Linked DNA regions of Drosophila melanogaster. The protein of the gene in region 2 interacts with the protein of the main gene of each other region in a pairwise test. Each region holds a gene or a part of one and is shown on either strand. Other genes may lie near its edges.

Region 1 (8,787 bases), 3.2 Mb from region 2:
TGATTACTTTTCGCTGTGTTCCATCCATGTAAGCGCGCTCTATCTTCGGATTCGGTCCCCAGTCACTCCAGAAGGCCAACGCCTCGCCCGGATGCACCACAATGGCACGTGGCTTGTCCAGATCGTAGGATGCGATGACGGTGCGCAGGTTTCCCTGGAAATTGGAAACCTCCACACGTCTCGTGCCCGAATCCGTCCAAAATAGCAGGTCGTGTATCCAATCGACTGCAATGCCACCCGGCGACTCCAGACCCCATTTGATGACGTCTCGAACTCGCGTTCCATTCATATACACCATCTTGATGACATCGGTGGACACGTCGGACCAAAACATCAGGCCCTTGCGATGGTGGAAGTCCAATGCGATCGCATTGTGAAGTCCCTTAACAATCGCCGAGTATCGGTTATTACTCAACGTCACCCGTCGTATGTCCCATCGGTTGGCCACCAGCAGGGTCATCGCACCACCCAGCGCTTTACAGGATCTGAGATCTGGACGAAGTATGTAGCCCGTTTCGCAGGAGCACTTAAAGGAACCCATAGTGTTGTGACATTTTTGCGAGCAAACCGGACTGGTCAGGTACTGGCATTCATCTATATCCGTGCAGCTAAACAATCGTGGCATCACTTTAATATCATACGAAATACCCGGTAAACAAATCGTCTACTTACTTGACTTTGTTTTTGTCCATGACATATCCAAGTCGACAGGCACACTCGTTCGATCCTGCAGTGGTTTCAATGCAGAGTTGCTCGCAAGGACTCGGTTCCGAGCACTTTCGTTCCTTGGGACAGTCGGCCTCGTCCTCGCCGGCGGGGCATTCGTTGTGGCCATCGCAAATGTGCTTCTGATGGACACATATCCTGAAAAATACAATCGGGAATTGGTAATTGGATTGCTTGTGATATGAGGACATCATGAGCAATTCAACTTACTTAAGATTTGTTAGGTTTTGTTTGGTTGGGCATAAAAATTGTCCCAGGTCGCATTGTAGGTGGCACTCAACCTCATCCTCTCCAGCAGCGCAGTCTGGATAGCCATCGCAGAGCCAAGTTTTCTGATTTGACAACAGAAAACTCAATGAGGTAAAGAAGTTAAGGAGACTCCAGTGGTCATACCAAAATGCAGCGCCCATTGTTGCAGGTAAACTCATCGGATCCGCAGGTCAGGGGATGCTCCGAGCCGAGACTACCGCAGTCGTTCTCGTCTTCTCCGCCGTCGCAATCCTGCTCCTTGTCACACTTCCAACGTTTGGGAATACAGGTGCCATCGGCACACTTGTATTCATTCGAGGTACATAGTGATGGCTTCTGGGGGCAATTCTCCTCGTCACTCCAGTCGCCGCAGTCGTTGTCGCCATCGCAGCGGAAACGATTGAGAATGCACTGGCCACTGGGACCACCTGCTCCACCCAAACCGCCGCGGCACTTGAACTCGCCCTCCGGACAGCTGTTTATGACCGCCGCGCACTTGAGCTCATCCGAGTTGTCATTGCAATCGTGCTCACCATCGCAACGAAAGGCCAGGGAGATGCAATAGCCATCGTTGCAGGTGAAGTGCTCATCCGTGCAGGTGGTGCGATTGCAGTGGGTCTCGTCGGAGAAGTCCTTGCAATCGTTCTCGCCATCGCATACCCAGGTTCGTGGAATACAGAATCCGTTGAGACACTCGAACTGATCATCTGTACAATTCGTCCTGGCTCCGCAGTGCGTCTCATCCGAGTAGTCACCGCAGTCATCATCTCCATCGCAGAGCCAATACTTGCTAATGCATCGAAAGGTTCGCGGGCACATCACATGTATCCCGGTCTTCTCGCAATCCCTTTGCAAATTCGGCACTGCATCCTCCTCGGGATTGCAGTTCTCGTCGGATTCATTGGAGTTCTGGCAATTGGAGTATGTCTCACCCGGTTGACTGGGATCGTCCTGCACCAGAACGGCCAGATTGACTCTAAATGGCTTCTGTTTGTTACTCGGACCACCTATAAAACCATCTCGACCACGTGAACTGATTCGATCAGTTTCGCGAATGCCGGCTATTTCGGTTCTACCCCTCTGGGCGCCAATGTTCCGGAACTTGGGAGTATCGTTTGAATTTGTGCCACCGGATATTCTAGTCTTGGATGGCACAGACGATTCCATCGTATGCAATCTTCCCTCTCCACTATGATGCACCTCCTGGCTATCCTCGTTATTCTGCTGATACGGCGGATAGTTGGAGACGGGAAAGAGTTTCTCGCCGAACTTGCTCAGCTCCTCCGACAGCTGATCCTCCCGCGACTCGTTGCCCGCCTCTAAATGTCCGATTCTGGCATCCGAGTGCAGCTGCTTGTGCTTATTCCAATCCCAACGACCCAGTGCGTTTGTCGGGTGAATTCCATAGTGGGGCGCGTTACGTTTCACAGCAGTTTTTGTCAAGTCGCCGAGACCGAGACCTAGTCAAAGGATTTAAATCGATACCATTTAACTTCTAATTAGCTCAAAATGCAGCAAAGGCTTTTGCCTTATCATACAAGTTCAGTCGTGTTAAGTTGAATTGAATGTTAACTACAAGTAGTTAAAGGAAAACCCCCCTATTTCTCATTCAAAGCAGATAGCAAAAGGCACGTTTTGCTATTGTTCCCACGCCACTGCAATGTTCTTGGAAAATACAACACTTTTCATAGGAAAGGAGCATTGAATGCAATGCTTCTGATTTGATACATACAAAGGTCATGTCTTGAGTTAAAAGGTTTTCCAATAGTTCAAAAACAGCTTTACAAAAACATGCATACATATGTACATACATACATATGTACATAGTCATGGACACGTTTTGTATGCAAGCAATATCCTTAAATAAAAAAGTTTCATTCAATTCGATGCATGTTCTTTGATGCCTTGCACATACATATTATAGATTGCATGTTCCTGGAAATTCGTATTACAATTAAGCCCTCTTGAGCAGGGAATTTTCTCAATTGGCTAGTTTTCGTGTGCAAGTTTTCATTGAGCAAAAAGTGCTGTTGGTCTGAGCGCATCGTGGGCGTTAACAGAGAGATACCCTTCATCTCCCCCCAGGACAAACTGTGTTGCGAGGACAATACTTACAGAGCCACACGAAGCATACCAATGGCCAAAAGGGAAAGGCTGTCAAATACATGTCCAGACATGTACACAAACTCGCCCACTCATAGGCACGTAACGTAGTAGCGCTGCGAGCTTTACTGCTTTTGCTTCCGAAGCATTTGCTGCTCTGCTAAGCGGATGCTGCTGCTGCTGCTGCTGCTGCTGTGCTGTTGCTTTCTGCTAACTGCTGTTCCGATTCTGTTAAGAGAAAGAGAGGAAGGTAGAGAGAAGGAGGTTTTCGTATTGAGCGCTTGCGTATAACATATTTTGCTACCAAGGCGGATCTAGAGTTTTATATATATATTTCTTTTTTTGAGGGGGGGCGGGGCGTAACTTTTAAAATAATGAAATTCACTCAATGATTTTTTGTCTCTAGGTTTTGGACAATATAAAGTTAATGCAAAGTTTTGGGCTTGGGGGAGGGGGGTTACTATGCGCAAAACCCGCCCACCTGATGTATATGTTGTGTATATGTTACACTTAAGCACACTCGTTCTTTGCGTAGGTGTCACTCAATAGATTTTACTCTATTCATCTTATTTGTAAGCACTTGGTTACTTCTGGTCTTTGTTATTTACTTATTGTGTCACTGGGTTTTTTATGATTTACATAAATGTTTATTGTAAGTTAATAAATTTAAATGCCTGGCTTGTACGTCCTCAACATTTTTCACATTACGCTGTCTCACTAAACAGAAGGTTTATTGTGACTTTGTAGGTCCAGGACCGACTCCGTGAATGGATCAAATATCATGCGGCACGGCATTCATGGCACTACTTCATTCAATGTATATCCTATTATAAAGTTGCGTGGGCTTGGCACTGCGTTTGGCATTTCCAGAATGTGGTATAAAGGTGTTTATAACGTCCTGCGAAGTCCCCTCGCAAATGAATGCGATATTTGGGACTTTGTTGGCATTTATGTATGTATGTCATGAGCACCACACACGCGAACATATGCATATTAAACACAGTATTATTAAACAAAAAGAACCTCCTGAAACTTTGACACTTTTCGATTCCAATTAGCAAGTGGCGGGCGAGAACAATTGAATCAGCTAATTGTTCCACACACATTTGTGTGGGTAATTTACGTGAATGAAAAATTATTTTCGTACAGCACGTCTCTTGTCTTCTTCGGGAATATAACGAATATAAAATTTCAGGGGATTACAGCATCCCTCTGACGGAAAGCGAAGTCGGCGGACGCGAGTGTTCCACTCAACTCTCGTGTGCTGTTTCAAAGTTTTCTCTGAATCCTTAAGCTTTTTCTGGGAAGCGAGCTTTTGTCTGTGTGCCGAGAGTGAGGGTAAATTAATTTGCAACAACTAAGTTAGCAAAATGCGAACCCAATTAAGGATTGTATCATTGAAAGCATTCTCCACGCTGCAGTTTTTCCTAAAAAACAACAAAAAACTGCAGCACCGAAATTAGGACAATGGACATGGAAGTCCATTTTAATCTCGATGTGTACATATATCGGTACATCATTTCTCGGAAGGGATCCACAGGTTACTTTTGTTTATCATTAACCTGGCATTCCTAAGTCGCGAAAGCTTTTTACCCTTTTATCAATATCTTATTAATTATTAAACAAAGCAGCAAAGATTATATCTTTTTTTTACAATTGCTTTTAGAATTTTTTTAGTGAAATTATTTTAGGTTTCTTACATGTCTTACTGTTTGTCATCTAAAACTGTTTAAGTACAACCCTAAAGAAAATAACAGCAGTTCAATGCTTTTTGTAAGCGGTACAGGATCTTTAAGTGCAGCATTCATTTATTTACGACTCTTTCGAACAACCTGCCATTTAATCAACAGGTTCCGGCCATTTAAACGGAATTTAATAAGGGTGTTTTGATCACGATTCAACCTAGTAGGGTGATGCCAGTGAGTTTTGCATTACTGACCATTTTGTCGTGGACCACGATCGTTAAATGTATGACATGCCGAAAGATCGACTGTCAGTACCATCCTTACATGAATGCAGGGTGGCAACGCCCTAGCATATTTTAGTATTTTTGATTTTGCTGGAGTAATTGGAACACTTGAGTGATGTGAAATTCACATCAAGAGTAAGTTCGTAAGATCGTATAACAAAAAGCTTATTTAAGAAAAAAAGTAGTGCAATTAGAAGAACTTTGTTTTTATTATAAGGGTAAGACCCTTTTATAGTCCATCAAACCCATTGATGGATTATAAGTTTTTAATGTTCTAATAACAACCCTAAGTGAAACATATTTCACAAGCAACAAGTTGGAAACGCAATGAGGAGGTTCCCCTTTTCAACGTATTTCGCTTGCCTTTCATTGCAAAGGATAGTACTATACTAATAACCGATGAAGATCGATATGTTTTACTGATCGCAGTGAGCAAGAGATATAACTCCGATGACGGCATGCTGAACTAGTTTTTTTCTGCCATAAGGTGTAACTATCTGGTTCACATAAATGCTTTGTCCACGCCGGTTAAGTGGCAAACGTGTGCAACTTCGAGTATACTTTTTTAATAGTTAATTTACATTACTCCATGAAGTGCTGTGCCGTTTGTATATAACCAGAATTCCGAGAATAGGCGTAAGTGAAAACTTTTGTTCTCGAGCTGATCGTACATAGCCATGCATGTACATGTACATAAGTACATAGTGTGAAATGAACGAGTTATTTCTGAGCAGGTCGAAAAAATATGTAAATAATGTAATGTGCATATGAATAAGTCAAGGTATTAGGGTTATATGCTATACTCTAGTGCTCCCACAGGACTAAACACATATGCCCGCAGTGTGCCCATACTTGAGCAAATACTTGAATTAAATGTGAAAAGAAGGTTGCAACATACATATGTATGTATGTACTTATGTACGATCATTTCCTATTGTACGCAGTGTTCCCATATCGGAGTTACCCAAAGTTCCTGATAAATCGGCACACATAAATGGCTTGAGAGTGCGGCGATCCATAGAATCCATAGCTTTAAACGGAACGTATGGCCGATATAATGGATCTTTTATGCTCGGAAATCATAGTCTACGAATCAGATCCATCATTGTATCGTTTGAACAAACGACAGCAGCAAATGTCCTCACCGGCGATCATTCGGGATCAATCATCGATATGTTCATCCTTGGGGGACGCGGAATCCGATTCCCATCCGGATGCCCAGAACAATGCCGTAGTGTGCAATATGAAGGAGCTGGTGTATATATACGCGTCCGTGGACTCGGCTGCGAAAAATCCAGAACAATTGGAGCCGCCTCCGCCACCTCCACCACCGCCGCCACCACCACCGACAGCGACCCAATCAATCCAAAGTTATCCGCGTTACATCAGCCAGGAGCCACCGACGTCACATTGCCAACGACTCGACGAACGCCTGACCACAACAGCCGATCCACCCGCAACCGACAACGTGAACACTGCCATCGGGGATCCCACATTGTATTCGGATCGGTGTCTGGAGAATTTCCTCAAGGTCGAGGAGAAGCACCACAAAATTCCCGACACGTACTTTAGCATCCAGAAGGATATTACGCCACCGATGCGCAAAATTGTCGCCGAATGGATGATGGAAGTGAGTAATTAAACGAAATGTAGATACAGCATCCAAATCATATCAAGCTAGCCGACTGTGATATACGCATTATTTATAATCTGTTAGAAAATATTACCAAATAGATGGAAGTTTCCAAGAACTTCATTAATTAGTGTTTGTTTTAGTAGTCCTTATCGCACACCCATTACAATATTTTGACTACCCTTTTCGTTCATTAATTGAATACATGTTCACAGGTGTGTGCCGAGGAAAATTGCCAGGAAGAGGTCGTATTACTGGCATTAAATTACATGGATCGATTTCTTTCGAGCAAATCAGTACGCAAGACCCAGCTACAAATTTTGGCCGCAGCTTGCCTCTTACTGGCTTCAAAGCTCCGTGAACCCAGCTGTCGTGCTCTTTCGGTGGATCTACTCGTTGTTTACACGGACAACAGCATCTACAAGGATGATTTGATTGTAAGTACCTTTCTCGTAATACAATACCTTTCGGTGAACATGCGGTTTCATTTCATTCCCAAGAAATGGGAGCTGTATGTGCTAAGTCGCTTGGGCTGGGACCTCTCATCTGTGACTCCCTTGGACTTCCTTGAGCTTCTGATGATGCGCCTGCCGATAGGCAGCAAAAACTTTCCGGACATAAACATTGGCAAAGTGCGGGGACATGCTCAGGCATTTATATCGTTGGCAGCAAAAGGTAAGCCATATACAAAACAGTCCAACTTAAGTACTGACTTCCCACCCCTTCCTTTGAAGAACATAAGTTTGCCAAGTTCTCGGCCAGCACCATAGCTGCATCGAGCATAGCTGCGTCAATGAATGGCCTAAAGTGGCATCTGCGATCGGGACACAATCTACACTTCCTTTTGAGTCTGATGACCGATCTAACCAGCGTGGAGCAAGTGAGTATGGCAAGGGAGCAGTGTTGTTATGTACCACCACTCAATTGATTTTAAATGCACAGGCTCAGGTGCGAGATTGTATGCTGCACATGGAGGACATCTTTAAGGAGCACAGTCGGAATCTAGAGCCATTTCTAGTGAATATTGACCCAAAAGAAATGTCAACATTATACTACAAGAGGCGCTTCCAAATACATCAATCGCAGCATCTCTCGCAAATCTCAATTAGACCCTTGCCGCTACCGAAAGCTCCTGCCGAGTGCGTGGAGCAACACCAGCAGCAGCACAACTTTGGGTCCGCAGCGCCACATCGGACGCACACGTGCAAGATGCAGGCGCAGGCTCAGGCTCAAAACGAGATACAAGACGTTACATTTTGAGGTGTCAAATGATAGTTATGCATACATGATAGTTATGTCAGGCTTAAGTTGAAATTATATATAGGATCCAAATAGTCCGATCACTATAGGATTGGCCAATATCACACTATTTACATTTGAATCGATGTATTTTATATGTACGCAACTATTTTTTACCAAACTATGGGTTATTATTTTTAGCTATCCTAAATATTTTGTATAAAATAGTTTTAAATAATCATCATGAAACTTTGAAATGGATGAAACATAAAAACGAGACTGATTGTAAGCAGCAAAGCAACATTTTTTTTTTGTATATAAGCTTTTCGAAATCCTACACAGATAACCAAAAAAGAACGAACTATTAAATGCAATTTTTTTAAAAACCATCCAACATAAAGAGAAAAACAATATGTTAAAGTTAACTTTGGATAACAATTATATAAGTTGGCAAATAAATGATAGAAAAAAGCAATTTCTTCTCTGCCCTCTATGATGTATGTATATTTTCGTATAATTTACTTTCAGATAAATCGCATTAGCTTACCAAACGAATCCAAGTAGTTAAAGGCAATGCGAATAATTTAATTTTTCTTTATTTTCTTATTAACAAACGTCTATAAACAAGAATCGTTAAAGACCATAACCTTAACACACACATAATATTTATCATTGAATAGGTTTTTGTATAATTTCTTGCGGACATTGCGTTGCTAAATAATATTTGTTCGCATATAATTCATTGCTCTGAGGATAGTTTAGTTCATACAAGTTTTTAGAGTGAGTACATAGTTCGATTTTTTTTTTACCATCAATGTAGAAGCATTGTAACACTGCAATTAACGATTTTCCTTTTAGATATTTCTTC
Region 2 (7,091 bases):
CTCTACGATCTTCTTCTACTGAGTACCTAAAGGCTGTTGCGAGTTTCCCTGTTCTTGGATTACTCGTACATTGGCATTGTTTCTGTTGTAGTTGTTCTGACTGTTGTTACGGCCTCTGTTTCCATTATAACGGCCTCTGTTATAGCCATTATAACGGTTATTATTTCCATTATAGCGGTTTTGATAACCGTTATTCTGGTAACCGTTATTTTGGTAACCGTTATTTTGGTAACCGTTATGGTAGTTGCCTCTAATACTATTGTTATTAAAGCCTCTACCGCGGTTACTACCTCTATTGGCATTTCCGTATCCTCTATTGGGTCTGTTACCTCTAAAGTACATCACTTTATTGATGTCACCGGTAACTCTTGTACTCGTTCTTATGTATGCGCTTATCGCTGCATCCATAGTGGTGCAAGTCCCTGCTTCCAGTACTGTTTTGATACTTTCGTGCTCAGCACGATGTATCATGGTTTCAATTGCCTCTTTGGTGCTTAGACCAGTGGCATGTTCTAGAGGTATACCCTCATCGATATAGGAAGCTTCTAAAAGTTTTCTCAGGCTATCAACTTCAGCGGTAAATTGCGTTGCAGTTTTACCTCTCTGCTGAACTGTTGCTAGCTTTGCTTTGACATTACTGGATGTCTCACCGACAACTACTTTCTGCAATTTGTTTATAATTGCTGGAATTGTCGTTTCATTGTCAACTGAGTTCAAAATTGTGCCAACTATTTTTGACTTAATGACCTCAACTGCAATGTCTTCAAATGGTCCCTTAGCTAGGTCTACCAATTTGATTGCCTTAATGAATCTTTGTAAATGGATCTTTTGCCCATCAAATTCTGGCACTGTGCAGGCGACTTCCCTAATGTAAGACCTAATGGCAGCTGCTTCTTCTGCCATGGTTAAGTTATTTTCGGAGTCGGCTGCGTTATTTGTTTTATCGTCGTTCTTCAGCATTAATTTTGCTGGTATAGTTAGATCGTGAAGATCTTCCTCTTTAATGTCTTCCTTGACTATAGTCCTATCTTCCTCGTCAGAGTTAGTGCTGTCTTCATTCAAATTTATTCTTAGTGGGGTGTTTACTATGGTTGGAATTTCTATCTGGAGACTGAATTTATTTTTTATAAATATTAATTTTTCTCTTAATGTCACCAGTAGGTTCAAAGCCTTAGCACACTGTTTGCGTTCCAAATTCTTTCTATTTTGTTGGATCAACTCTCTGATTTCATTATAACTATTTACCAAGACTTGGGCATTCCTATTGATTGTTACAGCTTGTGTTGATCTGTTTTGCGTTAAGCACTTATAGGATTTTCTGAAATTTTCATTTTGATCTTTTATCTGATCAACAAGCTTTTCCCAGTCCATGCTGTGGTATACTCATAACTTCAAATTTATTCATTTGTATATATTTTTTTTTTTAACGTAGATAAATTCAATATTACGTTTTATATTTTTTTTTTTATTTATTATTTTTTTTTTTTCATATAATTTTTCTCATATTTTCATTCATAATTGACTTTATTAAAGATCTTCCTTAAATATTATCTATACCGTTAGCAGTGCTACGGTATCGTTTCTTAAGACACTTGTTATGCAGTTTGTATATTTTTATTAATGCATTGGATACCATAATTAATGCAATTACAATTAGTATTATGGTTATCCAGAACAAGTCTGCATTTTGGACTTCTACTTTATTTATTACATTGGCTGTAGAGTCCACAGTTTTAGTGTCTATTAGACCCATTTTGGGTATACTAATTTTATATTTTGGAGAATAGAATAGAAAATTTCCTTTGTATATACTTTTATTTTCAGTTTTACTTATTTCATTTGTCTCTATAGACATTTATGTTTGGAATTATCTATTTATAAAATCTTTCAATGTTCGCAAGAGTAAAAAAAAATTGTATTTTACATTGTTGCCTGCCTGATTCTAGCTATGGCTTCACGGGCCATATTGGGTTAACAGGGCATAATAGTATATGCTCCGTTTTACAATATTTCTTACAATTTTTCTTATCTATATATATTTTATATTTACTTTATATTTATATATATTTATTATTATATTCTGCTGTTGATGATGCTCATCAGGTGTCAGCTGGGCGTCGCCGGGGGTGGCACGCTGACACTCCCTCGCTGCTGTCTATTTCTTCGCCGCTGAAGACGTCGATGGTCGCTCACAAGTCCCCAGGCAGTGGGGACTCCAGATTCCTTCGCAGCCAGGGGGGCAGGACTTCTTTGGTTTTGTTAATGCTGGTGCTGGTGCTGGACATGCCTGGTATTTTGGAACTTCATTAATTGTGGGTATATTTTTAATATTATCTGAGTGAGTTTTCTCGAGCTTATGGGTCTTTAATTCTTGCTGATATTGCAACAAGTGGTCTAGCTCTGCATGTAGCTTTAGAGCTTTCGACCAAACCGGTGGCGTTTGCTGACCGTATATTAGCCACCTTACGTGGGCTATACGTTTATTCAGCTTAGTTTTCAAACCGCCACGGTGTTTGCCCATACTCAATAGAACTCTACTCACTCAGATTTTTCCTTGGTTTTTGCAGTTCCATTTAATTAGTCCAGTCTTCTTCCAGTCCAGTGTTCCTTTGTTCCTTTGTTTTCACCAGCTTTGGTCAATTCGTCCAGCGTTGGACGACTGTCACGGTCGCCATGTAATGATGAACTCCAATTCAGAACACAAGTCCGTTTTAAGTTGAAGGCAGCCGTCGGGCTGACATATATTTATTCAATTTCTTCTTTTGATTTTAGAGTAGGCAGAAATGGTTCTGTCAGCTCAACGTCTACAGAGTCTCTCTGATTTTACAGTTTTTAATATATTTGGACTTAGGCTAATCCGCGTAGCTGCGCTGCCGGGTACGCCAGCAGCGGAGCGGCGTTCTTATGTATATCTTATATATCTAGGCTTATCGGGAGAGCGAGATATGTATGTACGTATGTAATATGTATTTGGTCGGCGTGTGAATGCTGACCATGCACTTATACTTTTTGCCTTCGAGTGGGTGATCATGTTACATCCGCCCTGGCCTAACTGCGTGCATAAACATAAACATAAACATAGCAACAAAGTGCTGCCATAAGTTAATATGCTATTTTATTTAATTGTTCTTAATATTGCATAGGCACATACTACAGTTTAACATAAGAATACTTTTTTTTTTTGTTGTCAGCTTTAAATGTACGTGTTTTATTGCTAATTTTAATGTTCTAATTACTTTATTTATTCATTGGAAATGGGAATTCGCATAGACGAGCCCATCACGAAAATACTTACCAAAAAAGACAGTAGACTAAGTTTATACTAAAGATAATTAGGGGAAACCGCAAGAAAACAAAGAAAAAAAAAATGCAAAACGATAAACATTGTGGCGGTACAGTGAGCACTGCCTGCGGCCAACCTAAAAACATGACGAAATATTTTTTTTTTTTTTACATCGTGTATAAGATGTGATATTCGCTGCAAATCGCAAAGCGTGAATATAATTTGTATTTATACCTATATTAATGAACCATATAAAATATACGAATAAAGTCCAATACAGTAGATAGGCTACACATATGTTTTTTGTTTAAACTTCAGAGATGCTTGGAGTGTAAAAGCCAAAAATTGTATGTTTTCTATCTTAATAAATATGAAGAAAACCAAGTTGGTAATTTACTATTGGCAATTGTAATGCAGATATTGCGCATACGACATACGTGTAGCTCATAATCGGGAACTGCGCTTAAAATTTCAATTATAGACTTTATTTGTTGGTGTGTGGCGAATGTAAAGTAGCATCCAATTATTTAATTAAAATCTCCTGTCTACTTTTGAGCTGAATTAGCAAATCGATGGGTTATATATATAGAGCTGTGATGATGCGCTCATTGTTAGTTGGGAAACAGATTTTCGCCATGAAGGTTGTGTGCAGCATAGCTGTACTATGGATTTGCTTGATAACTATGGTCAGTTCTTAACGAAATAGTTATGTGTCCATCTAACAATACCATCTATTCTAGTGGCAATCAGCTGGCCGCGTTAACGCAGAGGGTTGCCTAAAGCACCACAATCTGACCAGTGCCCAAGTGCAGGCAGTGGCTCCATCCACTCCCGTTGCGGATGTTCCAGTGGCCGTTAAGTGCTATAGCCGGTGTCTGATCCAGGATTATTTCGGTGATGATGGGAAAATCGATCTGCAGAAGGTGGGAAAGCGAGGATCTCAAGAGGACCACGTGATTTTGTCCCAGTGTAAGCAGCAGTTCGATGGCGTCACCAATCTGGACACGTGCGACTATCCATACCTGATTCTCCAGTGTTATTTTAAGGGCAAGCAGAGTGGAACTATCGCCTCGTAATTTACCAAATAAACAAAAAATAAAGTATACATATATACATTACTACATACATATATGTACACACACATGACAGACACAATGGGCTTCATCACAGTTCATTGTTGAGTCTTCTAATCAGATCAAACGCCCTCTAATGGAAATTACACACGATTGTGCTTAGTATAAGTGTGATTTTCATTATTATTATTTGTATACAGTGATTAATAATTGTATTAGAGCAAAATAGTAGACATGCATTGTTTTAAACTCGTCTGCTTTTTATTGATTTGTTTTATGCAAAGTAACGTAGAACTGGTGGAAATACATAATGCAATAATAAGTCAATCAGAGTCTTTATTTTCCGAAAATTCGCAAGAAACATGGCCAAATAAATAACAGAAAATTTCAGTTTGCTGACCAAATATGTATGTATGCATGTACATATGTACATATATGGGTGGACTGGGAAGCCAAACACAAAATTTTCCCCCTGCTTGAATAATATTTGAAATGGCAGATATGGAAGATGCAATTTGAACATAATTGAAATGCAAATCGCAGACTGTGAACTGCAGAACCGACTTGATGGGGCGGATGTGTGGACGTAATAATGAATCCCAGTCGACCCCACAGGATGCAGGGCAAATTTCAATTTTCCCAGCAAATCATACGTAAAGTTTGGCCAAATACATTTTGGGCCAAGAGGGCCAAAAAGGGCCAGAAGGATGTCAATGCAATCAGTGAGGCATTTGACTTGGCCTTTCATTAACTCGACTCAGCGCAGTCGAGTGCAAAGGACACAGTACATAGTACACAGGACGAAAGACGCAGGACGCAGGACGCAGGACATGGCACACGAACTCCTTGGGCGACATTGCGGCTGCCACAAAAACTTTTTGCTAGCCAATCATCAAGAAAGCCGCCGAGTCACTGGTTACTGGTTACGGGTTACTGGCAATACTGCTTATATGTTGGCAATAAGCAACGGCCCACCCAAATTAGGAGTTATTTTGACCAGTCGGAAAAGGAAAAAGGGGGCGTTGCGCAAAGTGCTGAAGTCAGTGGAAAATTTGTGGGCAAAACATGTTGATGACAGGCAAATATGCTGTAATGCAATTATGGGCGGCAGTGCAACCAGGATAGCGATTTAATTGACAATGCAAATTGAATCAGCATTTGTAGCTGTCTAATCGAATTAGCCCCGCAGAAAGCGTCCTTTGCATTCTCTTCTCCATAATTCAATTCCTGACTTGCCGCATCGCAGAGAAAACGGGGTTGCGGATTCGGATTCGGATTCGGATTCGGTTCGGTTATGGTCATGGTCATGGTTTTGGCTTTTTTAGTCCGGGCTCAGCAAATAAACTTTGCGTTCTCATTGCGGCGACAGTCGACTGCAGTTCACTCCTGACCACAGGACCCTCTCGTCCTGCAGTCCTGGCCAGACCAGGCCGTTGAGTGAACCTAACCACTGGAACGTGCCTTAACTTATAAAATGTTGCCCACTGCTGCCAATTGCAGCCAGCCTAAGTGGACTCACATCTCCTGGACCGAAGCTTCAATACTCTCAAGAAATCCACAAGAAGCCTGCCGATTTTAATTCTTCTGGCTAAATCAAAGGACAAACAGTTAACAACTTGGATTCGTGTTCGCTGTGTTTTCTACAGCTTTTTTAAATATTAGCTTTAATCGCAATCAATTTTCGATAGTCTTAGTGGGCCGAAAAGATATTAGGCTAATTTAAATTCACTTAAATGCAATTTAAGGTCAGCAATTTTCAAAGTACTTTGATGCAAGTAAGTGCATAGATTAAAAGAGCATTTGACTTGTGTGCCAGAGCCCAAAGGACATCTCATCTCGCTTAAACAAAAGGCATCCCCTAGCCCATCGCTTCCCACAGATCCACTTGAGCCAGGCCCGCCACCTGTTGGCGAGTTTTGGGCGCAGGACTCGGGTCGAGCTGCCCGGCTCCAACTGGCTCATCACCAGAAAATGCTGCTTGAAGTCCCCGTCCGAGAATCCCGACATTAAGACGCTGGCAATGTGTAATAACTGGCAGCTTGAGATGAAGGACAAGAGCGAACCGTGCGACTTAGATGGGGATTGAGGATTGGGCATTGAAGAGCGAGCGGAGCCGATGTGGATGCGGATGGGGGTGGCGGCAATGGGTGAGATCTGGAATGACAGGACGCTGAGCTGGCAGAGCAGCAGCATCATCATCGTCAGCAGCGGCTAAGGATGTGACAATGCTGAGCCCGTTTGACACGAGAATGATATAATAAAAACCGCAAACAAGTAATGCCTACGAACCGCAGTGCTCAAACCGAACGACTCCTTCCGCCAGTCCGGAGTCCTGCGGATCCAGTGTCCTTGGACCGAGTCCAAGCTGAGATAACAGCAGCGGGAGGAGTGGGGTGGCGCGGGCAGACGCGGACTGCTCAAGTGCTGTTGTCAGAGCGCTCCTCTGGTGTCCCACATTTCGTCCTGATGTCCTGCACCTGAAGAAAAAAAATGTTGAATAATGTTTTGAAAAGCGGCTGAAAAGGCATGCGAATATAGGCAACTATTGCATTTCAGCATATCCATGGTACTCTTACTTACCTTTTACTAAATACTCGTCTTTCGAATAATAAGATCGACATCCTTGTCATCCAAGAAAATATCCTTATTATCCTTAATTCAGTGGCGGAATCATGTGATCATAACTTTTTTTACAGCAACCTTTACCGGACTAATGCTGATTTCCTAGAAAGTTT

Evidence for each region. The genes of interacting proteins can lie anywhere in the genome.
Region 1: the proteins of Obp18a (region 2) and Lrp4 interact in a two-hybrid assay, tested with the Drosophila melanogaster proteins (one large-scale study listed by BioGRID).

What each region holds. Positions count from the first base shown.
Region 1 is NC_004354.4:15,906,427-15,915,213, reverse strand, and holds the start of Lrp4 (LDL receptor related protein 4), read right to left. Parts: upstream 4,345-8,787; 5' UTR 4,226-4,344; intron 3,848-4,225; exon of another isoform or gene 3,560-3,847; intron 3,307-3,559; 5' UTR 3,143-3,306; coding exon 3,091-3,142; intron 2,436-3,090; coding exon 1,120-2,435; intron 1,059-1,119; coding exon 937-1,058; intron 865-936; coding exon 673-864; intron 609-672; coding exon 1-608. Other genes in the region: CycD (cyclin D), read left to right, coding at 6,105-6,677, 6,896-7,117, 7,181-7,355, 7,415-7,560, 7,623-7,940.
Region 2 is NC_004354.4:19,132,671-19,139,761, reverse strand, and holds Obp18a (Odorant-binding protein 18a), read left to right. Parts: upstream 1-3,893; 5' UTR 3,894-3,918; coding exon 3,919-3,969; intron 3,970-4,023; coding exon 4,024-4,359; 3' UTR 4,360-4,681; downstream 4,682-7,091.